2 linked regions of the Kluyveromyces lactis genome follow. The protein of the gene in region 2 purifies or fractionates together with the protein of the main gene of each other region. This does not show direct contact. Links are inferred from orthologs where the notes say so. Each region holds a gene or a part of one and is shown on either strand. Other genes may lie near its edges.

Evidence for each region.
Region 1: the proteins of KOG1 (region 2) and TOR1 purify together in Schizosaccharomyces pombe (affinity purification with western blotting; 5 studies listed by BioGRID, with this or other methods). This does not show direct contact. The link is inferred for Kluyveromyces lactis from reciprocal best matches to the Schizosaccharomyces pombe genes mip1 and tor2.

The regions. Positions count from the first base shown.
Region 1 is NC_006038.1:1,225,076-1,230,970, forward strand, and holds the end of TOR1 (phosphatidylinositol kinase-related protein kinase TOR1), read left to right. Parts: coding exon 1-4,553; downstream 4,554-5,895. Other genes in the region: YAE1 (Yae1p), read right to left, coding at 4,682-5,110; RFC2 (replication factor C subunit 2), read left to right, coding at 5,322-5,895.
Region 2 is NC_006037.1:827,707-835,049, reverse strand, and holds the start of KOG1 (ubiquitin-binding TORC1 subunit KOG1), read left to right. Parts: upstream 1-3,265; coding exon 3,266-7,343. Other genes in the region: GPI-anchor transamidase subunit GPI16, read left to right, coding at 1-1,595; Elongator subunit IKI1, read right to left, coding at 1,733-2,620. UniProt on the Schizosaccharomyces pombe protein: Component of TORC1, which regulates multiple cellular processes to control cell growth in response to environmental signals. Tor2 is essential for growth. Nutrient limitation and environmental stress signals cause inactivation of TORC1.

The DNA of each region.
Region 1 (5,895 bases), on a different chromosome or scaffold from region 2:
AGACAATGGGGCTTCGCTGTGTCATATTTTTGAAACAGATCATTCCTGGATTTATACTGGTTATGCACACATGTCCACCTTCACTTCTTGAGCTCTACTTCCAACAGCTCAGTGTTTTGATTTCAATTGTGAAACAACACATCAGACTACATGTGTCTGAAATTGTGGAAGTAATCTCAGAATTCTTCCCTATCGTAAAGCTACAATTAACTATCATCTCGGTTATCGAATCACTATCAAGAGCCTTAGAAGGAGAATTCAATCCTTATTTACCTAATATACTATCTTTGTTTTTGGATGTTTTGGAAAAAGACCAGTCGAATAAGAAGGTTGTCTCAATTAGAATATTGAAGTCATTGGTAGTTTTTGGACCACATCTAGAGGAATATGCTCACCTCGTACTGCCAACTATCATAAAACTATCGGAGTTTAGCTCAGGAAATTTGAAGAAGGCCGCAATCATTACTATAGGACGTCTATCGAAAAATGTCAATCCACTAGAAATGTCGTCTAGGATTGTGCAAGCCCTAGTAAGAGTCTTAAATACATCAGAACTCGAGTACGTGAAAGCAACAATGAACACATTAAGTTTACTTCTTTTACAACTCAATATTGATTTTACTGTATTCATTCCAGTTATCAATAAAACTTTAGTCAAACAGAACATTCAGCACACAATATACGACCGTTTGGTTGCCAAACTTTTGAATAATGAGCCACTACCGACCAAAATTATTATTGATAAAGATTTCGATTTACCTAATAAAGAAATGGACGATGTAAAGGTAGCTTCCAAGAAGCTTCCTGTCAACCAACTTGTGCTAAAAAATGCCTGGGATTGTAGTCAACAAAGAACAAAGGAGGACTGGCAAGAGTGGATTAGACGGCTATCAATTTCTTTACTCAAAGAATCATCTTCTCATGCTTTACGTGCCTGCTCCGGATTGGCTGGTATCTACTATCCATTAGCTAGAGAATTATTCAACGCCTCATTTGCAAGTTGTTGGGGTGAACTTTACACGCAATATCAAGAGGATTTGGTTCAGTCTTTGTGCTCTGCTTTATCCTCACCAAACAATCCTCCTGAAATCCACCAGACATTATTAAATTTGGTTGAATTCATGGAGCATGACGACAAACCGCTACCAATTTCTATATCAACTCTTGGCGAATACGCTCAGCGTTGTCATGCATATGCAAAAGCTTTACATTATAAAGAACTGGAGTTCATTGAAGAGCCAACAACTTCAACTATCGAGTCCTTAATCAGTATCAATAATCAATTACACCAAACAGATGCAGCAATCGGTATTTTGAAGCATGCGCAGCAACACCACGATCTACAATTGAAGGAAACTTGGTACGAAAAGTTACAAAGATGGGATGACGCTTTGACTGCGTATAATAAGCGTGAGGCTGCTGGTGAAGATTCGATAGAAGTTACAATTGGTAAAATGAGATCATTACACGCCTTAGGTGACTGGGATCAATTGTCTGAACTTGCAGCAGACAAGTGGGCTTCGTCAAAGATAGACATTAAGAGAGCAATCGCTCCTCTGGCTGCGGGTGCTGCGTGGGGTTTAGCTCAATGGGATCGAATCGAGCAGTACATTGAGGTGATGAAACCACAATCTCCAGATAAGGCCTTCTTTGCTGCCGTTCTTTGTCTACATCGCAACAATTTCGATAAAGCACAAGAACAAATCTTTGCTGCCAGAGATCTTCTTGTTACTGAAATGTCTGCCTTGGTGAACGAAAGTTACAACCGTGCTTATGGTGTTGTGGTAAGAACTCAAATGGTCGCGGAATTAGAAGAAATAATTCAGTATAAAAATTTACCACAGGGTTCCGATAGACGGGCTATGATACGGAAGACATGGAACAAAAGATTGTTAGGTTGTCAAAAGAATGTTGATGTCTGGCAAAGAATTCTAAAGGTACGGTCACTAGTTATAAAGCCTAAACAAGATATGAAAGTATGGATTAAATTTGCTAATCTTTGTAGGAAGTCCGGACGGTTAGGTCTAGCTCAGAAGACATTGAACACTCTTCTGGAAGAGAGTAGTGATCCAAAGAATCCAAATACTGCTCGTGCACCTCCACCAGTTGTCTACGCCCAATTGAAATACATGTGGGCTACAGGTTCTCAAAAGGAAGCACTCAACCATTTAATAAGCTTTACTTCTCGTATGGCACACGATCTAGGCCTCGATCCCAGTAACATGATAGCTCAAAGTGTCCCACAGAATAGCAGCGTATCTCAGCATCACATTGAAGACTATACGAAGTTACTTGCTCGTTGTTTCTTAAAGCAAGGTGAATGGAGAGTCTCACTACAGCCAAATTGGCGCCTGGAAAATCCTGATGCTATCCTAGGTTCCTATTTACTAGCTACTCACTTTGATAAGTCGTGGTATAAAGCTTGGCATAATTGGGCATTGGCAAACTTCGAGGTCACTTCGTCGCTTACCCAGCGAATCAAAGATGACAAAGTTCTAACACTTGAAGACGCCTCTACGGAGTTTACCAATGGTGCCGTGGCAGGGCTTGGCGCGAATGAAAATTTCCCTCCAGAACTGGTCCAACGTCATGTCGTGCCAGCCATCAAAGGTTTTTTCCGTTCTATTGCTCTTTCCCAATCGAGTTCTTTACAGGATACGTTAAGATTACTCACTTTGTGGTTCAAATTCGGTGGTATTCCAGAAGCTGCACAAGCTATGCATGAAGGCTTTGGATTGATCAAGATCGATAACTGGTTAGAAGTTATCCCACAATTGATCTCCCGAATTCATCAACCAAATCAAACCGTTAGTAGATCTTTACTATCTTTGCTAGCTGATTTGGGTAAAGCCCATCCACAGGCATTAGTGTATCCATTGACAGTTGCCATTAAATCTGATTCGGTCTCAAGACAGAGGGCAGCTTTGTCCATCATAGATAAGATGAGAATGCACAGTCCTAAACTTGTCGATCAAGCAGAATTAGTAAGTGACGAATTGATCAGAGTCGCTGTTTTGTGGCACGAACTTTGGTACGAAGGTCTTGAAGATGCTAGTAGACAATTCTTTGGTGAACATAACACGGAAAAGATGTTTGCCACTTTGGAGCCATTGCATGAGATGCTAAAACGTGGTCCTGAAACCTTGCGTGAGATTTCGTTCCAAAATTCGTTTGGTAGGGATTTGAACGATGCCCACGAGTGGGTAATGAACTACAAGAGAACAAAAGATATCAACAACCTTAACCAAGCTTGGGATATCTATTATAATGTCTTCCGTCGTATTAGCAGGAAACTCCCTCAATTACAGACGTTGGATCTCCAACATGTTTCACCAAAACTAGCTGCTGCGAAAGATTTAGAACTTGCTGTTCCAGGTACATATCATGCCGGAAAACCTGTCATTAGAATTACCCATTTCGAGCCAATATTTACTGTTATTTCATCCAAACAGCGTCCTCGTAGGCTATCTATCAAGGGTAGCGATGGTAAAGACTATCAATATATTGTCAAGGGCCATGAAGATATCAGACAAGATAATTTGGTCATGCAATTGTTTGGTTTGGTTAATACTTTATTACAGAATAACCCCGAGAGTTTCCAAAGGCATTTGAACATTCAACAATACCCTGCTATCCCATTATCACCTAAATCCGGTCTTTTGGGATGGGTTCCAAATAGTGATACATTCCATGTCTTGATCAGAGAACATCGTGAAGCAAGCAAAGTTCCACTAAATATAGAACACAGAATAATGCTCCAAATGGCTCCTGATTATGATAACCTAACTCTATTGCAAAAAGTGGAAGTTTTCACTTATGCTCTTGATAACACCAAGGGCCAGGACTTGTATAAGGTTCTATGGTTAAAGAGTCGTTCATCAGAATCATGGCTCGAACGTCGTACAACTTACACAAGATCGTTAGCCGTCATGTCAATGGTAGGATATATTTTAGGTTTAGGTGATCGTCATCCAAGTAATTTGATGTTGGACCGTGTTACTGGTAAAGTTGTCCACATTGATTTCGGTGACTGTTTCGAAGCTGCAATTCTCAGAGAGAAATACCCAGAAAAGGTACCATTCAGATTAACAAGAATGTTAACGTACGCAATGGAAGTCAGTGGTATTGAAGGTAGTTTCCGTATCACCTGTGAGAACGTAATGATGGTCCTAAGGGATAATAAGGAGTCCTTGATGGCTATTTTGGAAGCCTTTGCATACGATCCATTAATCAACTGGGGTTTCGATCTACCGACTCAAGCCGTGATGGAACAGACGGGAATAGATCTACCTCTTGCAAATCCAAGTGAGTTACTAAGAAAGGGCGTCATCACCGTTGAAGATGCGGCCAAGATGGAACTACAACAAAAGGCAGAAGTCCGCAACGCAAGAGCCACTCTTGTTCTCAAAAGAATCGCTGATAAACTTACTGGTAACGATTTCCCAAGGTATCAAGAACTATCTGTGCCTGATCAAGTCGACAAGTTGATCCAGCAAGCTACATCAGTAGAAAACCTATGTCAACATTACATCGGCTGGTGTTCGTTCTGGTGATACCTAAACAAAAAGAACATCGCTAAAAGCATTATAGACTATTGAATCATTATATCTTCTTATACACTATGTATTTGTAAGAAGGTGCGTATACCTGTCATTATTTATCAAAATAAAAATCATACTCATCAAGAATACTTACCTTCATAATCCAATACCCGAGCTTGCCATTTGGATAGGAGTACCTTCAATGAATCTAAAGGTTGTAATTCTTCATCGAAGTGTCTAGCGGACAACACCCTGTTAATCCGTAGTTCGTCTTGAGCTTGCTTTAAGTCTGCAGCAACTTGAGGGTCTGCATTCCCATAAAGCGTGGTAAATAGCCTCAATTTACCCACAATTTCCCCTATTTGAAACCCATACTTAGCACCCAAGGGGAAGGTATCGTCAAACCCAGCTTGCAAGTTTTCCTCCTTCGCTGACGAAATACCATCTAAATACCCTCTTTTCGAATGTATTTGTTGAAGTTTCTTCACTTCTAGCGACTCTTGAGGACCGGTACTGGCCTCATTATCAGAGCCCCATATATTTTCCTCATCTGTCATCTCCACGGTCATTGGTCGTGAGGTTATGATCAATATCTTGGTCCTCTAGTGGACACCTCTTTATCATCTCATCGTGTACTCTGTATTTAATAAGCTTTCAACATTGAAAAATTCCCAGCTGAACCTTTAACGACTTTGAATGATAAGATCTTTTGGATTATAAAATATGAGAAATAAAGGTTTGTAAAGGGCCATTGAGAGCTCAAGAAGGTGTTGAGGCGCGATGTCTAGTGGAACGATATTCAAGAAACAGAAGTTGAACCCATCAGATGGTAAAGGTCAAGCAAAACCATGGGTTGAAAAGTATAGACCAAGGAAATTAGATGATGTTGCTGCTCAGGATCATGCCGTTACCGTCTTGAAAAGGACTTTACAGACTGCAAATTTGCCACATATGTTGTTTTATGGTCCTCCTGGTACTGGTAAGACTTCTACTATTCTTGCTTTGACGAAAGAGTTGTACGGTCCCCATTTATCGAACAGCAGAGTTCTAGAATTAAACGCGTCCGATGAACGTGGTATTTCGATCGTCAGAGAGAAAGTGAAGAACTTTGCTAGGCTCACTGTGTCTAAGCCATCAGAATCAGACCTTGCGAATTATCCATGTCCACCATACAAAATTATCATTCTTGATGAAGCCGATTCTATGACTGCTGACGCACAAAGTGCGCTGCGTAGAACCATGGAAACCTATTCTGGTGTCACTAGATTCTGTTTGATCTGTAATTACGTTACTAGAATCATTGATCCCTTGGCTTCAAGGTGTTCCAAATTCAGATTCAAAGCGTTGGATTCAT
Region 2 (7,343 bases):
CAGTTTTCCCGAAGCCCGTTGGGCCCATTATGTCACAGACTAATACCAGACAGTTACACTTGAGATTTACACATGGGCTATGGGATTCACAAGAATGGGGCCAGCTTCCACACAACGGGTTGAAATCTGGAGGAACAGGTGTGGAATTATGGGCTATTGTGGAAGCACCATCGAAGGAAGAAGCGTTGAAATCATGGATAACGTTGGCCAATTCGTTAAGTGGATTGTTCTGTGCTTCCATCAATTTCATTGACACTTCAAAGACGACGTTTCCGGTATCATCATTCTTACCGAAAGAAGACGAAGCGATCCCACTACTGAATCAAAGCAACCATCTTTACCTCATGAGAGCAACTTTAGCCAACGAACCGGTTTGTACTGAAAATTTGACCCCATTTGTAAAACTTTTACCAACAAGAGGGAAATCTGGTATCTCCTCTTTGTTAGATGGCCACAAGATCTTTGATTCAAATTGGCACAGTCTGTCGATTGATGTCAATACTGTTTGTGACGAATCAACTGCCAATTGCCACTTTGTTATGGAAGAATTTATCGAAACAGTGGTCAACGTACCAAATGCTTTGGCCAGAGCTGACAGACCAATTCCGAAGCCTTTACCAGGCGACGAACTTCGTTGTGACACGAATAGACCACACGACGCGTTCCAATGTTTCCCGTTACCTCAAAGCAAAGAAGTTAGTTTCAGCATCTCAAAACTATTTGGTAAGAAAATCCGTGGAGGCAGCTTGCTTGGCGAACAAAGCTCAAAAATATGTGTTCACGTTCCCTCACATTGGGACGTTATGATACAGGTCGACGAATCATATTTTGCAACCGACGACAACTGTTTCGATCTCAACAATAACAAACCACATGATGTTCGCTTGGAAACGACAGACTCTAAGAGTGTACTACCCTCCAAAAAGACTCCAATATACGTTTCCAGAGCTCTCACTGGTTATGGCCAAGACCGTGGCGGGTTAAGATCAGTATTTCGTAATCCTTCCAACGAAGCTGTGGAATTAGTTTATTTTGAATCCTTGCCTTGGTTCATGGGAGTATACTTGTCCTCCTTAGCCATAGAGAGTGATGATCCTGAACTAACTCTAGATTCAGTAGTAAAATCTACCTTCTATTCCCCGGCAAGAGATCGTGAGAGACCGACACATTTGGAAAGGGCAATGATTATCCCGCCTAACACTGCATTCGCTATATCATTCCAGTTCGATAAATCCTTGCTTAAATATGCAGAATATCCCCCTGATGCCAACCATGGTTTTGAGATCGAAGCTGCTGTTGCTGCAGTACTTACACCAGAACGTTATGAAGCCAGAACATCCTCCTTACTCTTATCTCTATCCACTCCTGATTTCAGTATGCCTTACAATGTCATCATTCTGACATCTACTGTCATGGGTCTAGCTTTTGGTACTCTATTCAACCTAATTTCTAAGCAACTGATAACCCTGGAAGAAGCTGATAAGATACTTGCATCGACAGGTCCTAGAGCAAAGCTGTTGCGCGTCAAAGCAAAGATTGTAAACATGCTACAGGGAAATAAAAACAAGATTATCAAAAGCGCTAAATATGAATAGCATTTCAGATTGTCAAAGCGTACACTTATATGAGTACATAGAACATATAGAGTAGACAGACAATTCCTATGTAATTGTGATAATCTCAACCACGAGAAAGAATTAAATGAAACTAGAATAACCCGAGACTCTAGCGATCAGAACGGATCTTCGTACGGGTCTTCTTCGTCATAATCATCATCCTTTTCAAACTCATACACAATTGCACCACCACTGTTGAAAGATTGAGCTTCAAGATATGGCAATTCCACTTGGTCTTTTGCCAGCTTCTGTTTCTCCGAAGTGTTCAAGTTGAATGTTGTTAAACCCTCAAACATTTCTGGACTTTCGTCCGTTACTGGTTCTTGTTTCTCTATCACATATTCATAATCATGTGTTTTCGAATTGATTAAGAACTTATTCTTGATAGCCCTACCGGACTTTCGCTTGTTCGTTAGAGTGATATAATATGTGGGATTGTTCAAGTTCTTGGGTATCACAAATCTACTTAAATCTGCATCCAAATCGTCCTCGTCTATGGAAGTCTTCGGAGTAACTTCTATAACCGTATTAGCAATAAATTGCAAGAGTTGGATCGCAGTTGGATAGTTCTGGAGTTCTGCTGGACGCCAGGCTGGTATCGACTGATGATATGTAGCCAATATTGTCACAAATGGCGATGCAATGGTAGATATGAATTGTGTCAAGCTTTCAGAACCGATATAATTGAATGTATCAAAGATCACTAAATGCATCTTAGGAGCTTGTTCCTGTGGCTGCGGTAGGTATGGTTGTAATGCTGCAACTAGTTGCTGGGTGGTTTTCCCCGACGCATCTATGAATTGGCGTGCATATTTCGGTCTATTTGGAGTCTCAAATGATACGAAAACGATCGGCATTTCGTCTGGTATGTTATCTAGGAATTCCTCAACCACAAATCGGCTGCTTTGTGCCATCGTATCGGTACATAGTATTAGCGAAGATTGTTCCTTCAGTGAGAACGTCCTCTTCAATAGAACTTTGGGATTATTATTAGTAGAAGCCATCTCAGAGAATAAAGAGCACGCAGTATATTCGTGATAGATCAGATACCCTGAAAGAATGCTGTAACAGTCGAAATAGATGAAAACAGGCTACTCATAAGTACTAGTTCCCCGCATGAACCTTGATCTTATCTCATCTCATCGCCTGTCAAAGTGAATATTTCACCAAGCATTTGGTATGTGAAATTGCATATTTATAACGTAGATCAAAATAAAAACACATAAAAGTATCCAATAACGGTCCCATTTAGTGCACTTGAAAGCGCAAACCAGTAAAAGTTAGATAAACTGTGGTTATTAAATATCTGGGTTACAATCGAGGGGGTATTGAAGTGGTTGATATAACTTTATTGGATATCTTCCCAACGTTACCCTGATATAAAATATTCGGGTAACAATATACTCAAAGTGTTTGCGTAAAAATACTGTAAGCTCATATACAGATACTGGTCAGTAAGTGTGGAATGATTGGAAAGATAAGGTTTTTGAAGAGCATTTAGTGGGTTTGAAGTCAATTTAGCGAGTCTTCATTGACTAGCAGTTAGGTAATTACTATTTGTACGATTTTCTGCGTTTAAATTTTGTCAGAATCGACCGGTACTGCCACTTTTATCAGAACCAGTTGTGAATAGAACCAATCCTGAAGCAATGGTTGTTTACGGCCCACAGCCTTTGACACGGCTTAATACTGAGACTAGACATGGGTTTGAAGAGCAGTATTCAAGTGAGAAACTCTTGGAGGCGCATGCTAGCAATTTTATATTTTATTACGATGATAAGAGGCATCGAACCAATGGGAATCCAGTTCCTGAGGAAGTGAAGCAAGAGGATAAGGATGGATATTACCAGCCAATTCCTGATTGGAAAATAGTTAAGGACAGGCAGAAGACAGTTGCAGCAGCATTATTACTATGTTTGAATTTGGGAGTGGATCCTCCTGATGTGACTAAGACTCAGCCATGTGCAAGACTTGAATCATGGGTTGATCCCCTTGCATTTCAGGATTCTAAGAAAGCTATTGAACAAATAGGAAAGAACTTACAGAGTCAATACGAGACGCTATCACTACGTACTCGTTATAAACAGAGCTTAGATCCCTGTGTGGAAGATGTGAAACGCTTCTGTAATTCATTGAGAAGGGCTTCGAAAGACGAAAGAATTCTGTTCCATTATAACGGTCATGGTGTACCACAACCAACACCATCTGGAGAAATCTGGGTTTTCAACCGTGGATATACTCAGTATATCCCGGTTTCATTATATGATTTACAAACTTGGCTAGGAGCCCCTTGTATATATGTCTGGGATTGCAATAGTGCTGGTAACATTGTATCCAACTTTAAAAAGTTTGTTCAAAAGAGATTGAGAGACGATAGAGAAGGCAATCATGATATGGCATCACCTTCACCTACAGAAGCATACACTGAATGTGTGCAATTAGCGTCATGTGCAAACAACGAATTATTGCCCATGAACCCTGAATTACCCGCAGATTTTTTCACCTGTTGTCTAACGAATCCAATAGAAATATCTGTTAAGGTGTTTCTAATGCAATCTCCTTTGAAAGACACCAAATATTCCGTGTTCTTCCAAGATAACGATCCTAGAAGAAAAGAGACGGGTGTGAATGAAATGCCTAACATTACGATACCGGGGAAATTGTCTGAGCGTAGGACTCCCCTTGGTGAATTGAATTGGATATTTACTGCTATTACAGATACCATTGCATGGACATCATTACCAAGAGCACTATTTAAGAAGCTATTCAGACATGACCTCATGGTCGCGGCATTATTTCGTAACTTTTTACTCGCCAAAAGAATAATGCCTTGGTACAATTGTCATCCAGTATCAGACCCAGAGTTACCAGACTCAATTGCTGATCATCCAATGTGGAGATCGTGGGATCTAGCAATCGACGAAGTATTGACCAAACTTCTGGAAAGTGCTCATGCTAATGCAAAGAATTCAAACTTCCCTGAATCACAGTTTATAAGCCAACCAAACGAAGGCAATGAAACCAATGACGGGCTGCAATCGAAAAATACTATTGGAAACCTGAGCTCCATGTCATTGGTAAACTTTAGTTCAACAGCACATACCTCCAGCGGTAATTCAGCCTCGCACCCGACTACCTCTCAACAACAACAGCAACAATTTACGAAATTTTTTGAGCAAAATTTAACCGCATTTGATTTATGGGTGAAATATGGGGCTAATTCAAGACATCCACCTGAGCAGCTCCCCATAGTACTACAGGTTCTCTTATCACAAGTCCATCGTGTTAGGACTTTGGTACTGCTATCTAGATTTCTTGATCTTGGACCATGGGCTGTATACCTATCACTTTCAATTGGGATATTCCCTTATGTTTCCAAACTGCTACAAAGTCCTGCCCATGAGTTGAAACCAATTCTAGTGTTCATTTGGGCTAGAATTTTTTCTATTGACTATAAAAATACCCAAACAGAACTTATAAAGGAGCGTGGATACCAATACTTTGTAAAGATGCTTGTACCTGAGTTTGGTGTCCCAAGAGGACATAGTGTCAGTAGTGCTGGAAGTCCCTTGACTATGAATGTACCTGCAAGTTCTTCAACACAGAGGTACCAGATGTATCAACAGCAGCAGCAGCAGCAAGCATATAATAACGCGACGTTATTATCTAACAATAATACTACAGATGAACAAAAGGCAATGGCAGCATTTGTCCTATCGTGCTTTGTTCGCGATTTCCCCCTTGGTCAAAAACACTGTTTCAGCACTGAATTAGTAAACAAGTTATGCTTCTTTATCGAAAATTCTGAAGTTCCGTTATTAAGACAGTGGTGTATCATTTTACTTGGTCAGTTATACATTCACAATCCATTGCATAAGACATTATGCCTCGAAAATGAAAATATGAATACAATCATAGAGTCTTTAAAAGATCCAATTCCAGAGATCAGATGTGCTGCGTTATTAGCAATCAAGTACTTCCTTTCTGAAGAAGACGATGTTAACATTATCTTGAAACTCCAACAAGAATTTCAGCAACAATTACAACAATTCCAAGCGCAGCTGCAGCTTTTGCAATCTCAACAAAACCAGCAGCAGCAGCAGCAACAGGGAAATCAACAGAATAGTACGCATCACATACAGCAACAATACTATCAAATTCAGCAACAATCCCAACAAGTCCAAACATCAATGAGTCAATTGCAAAGTATTAATTTACGCAACCTCAAACAATTTGAGATTAAGACCATTATCACAACCCTTTCGCTAGTCAACGATGGTAGTCCAATGGTACGGAAGGAATTGATCATCTTTTTATCTCAAGTTGTAGAAAGGTATATCGAATTTTTCACTGTAATTGCTTTCACTGAAATCAGCACAGAAATAGTTGCGCTAGAAACGAATGGCCATGAAGACGACTCAAGAAATCCTACTTCAGTTGGTCATGGTTCCATATTCAATACCGTGTGGAAAGCGTTATTAATTTCTTCTGAAGACCCATTTGTCGAAAATAGAGAACTTGCAGGAGATGTAGTAGATTACATCCTCATTAAGCTAAATGAACACAGTAAGTTGGCTGAAATGGTGAAAGAAATGGAACAATACATTTTGAAGAGAAGCGTTGTTAACGTCAAAGGTTTCACCTCCCCAAATAAATTACCAGCAATAAGAAGACCAGCAAGTTTGAGTAATGGTAAACATGACCATTACCGAAACGATACTGTCAGTGACAGGCGTGTATTCTCTATGAATTCAATTCTGAAGGCACTTGGATTTGCTAATGACCAAGATTCATACTCCGATCATGAGAGCACTAGTAGTGGGAATGGAAAAATGGCACAAGGTCTTTCTTTAATGGGGATCGAATATGGGACAAGTCCTAGGGCTTTCCCCGCAATGTATAGGAAGAGAGATACACCCTTGACTTTACCGTTGGAAAGCTGTTTCCTCAACTATTGTAGTGAATACTTCCAAGAACCACAAATGAAAAAACAGGAGGCAGATGAACCTGGTAGCATTGAATTTACCGCTCGTGAATGGAAAAGAAACAGAAATGAGGCAATCATCCAAGAAACTCAGTCACAGAAAGAACTGGCACTATATGGTGACTGGTCACACAAGATAGTGACTTTTGACAACAAGACGCAACCAAAGATACTCTTATTCACTCAATTTGACAATTATATTGCGGCAAGTGACGATAGAGACAATATTACCATATATGATTGGTCTACTCAAGAAAAATTATCTCGATTCTCTAATGGCAATCCATTCGGTACGAAAATCACCGACATGAAGTTTTTAAATGACGACGACACACCGTTGTTATTGGCAGGCTCTTCAGACGGTATTGTAAATATCTACAAAGATTTCCATGACACTGAAGATCTATTTATGATTTCTTCTTGGAGAGGATTAACAGATTTGCTATTGACTCCTAGGTCTACAGGCCTATTAACTGAATGGCAACAGAGCAGAGGTTCATTACTAGTCACTGGTGATGTGAAAATAATTCGTATCTGGGATGCGCTTACGGAGTCTGTGGAAGTGGATATACCGGCGAAATCAAGCTCTTTAATCACATCTTTAACTTCTGACCAGTTTTCTGGAAACATTTTTGTTGCAGGTTACTCCGATGGCTCTATTCGGGTGTATGACAGACGTATGGATCCCAGAGATTCAATGATCAGGCTTTGGAAAACGCCAAAAAGTGATAACAGTCCTGTTG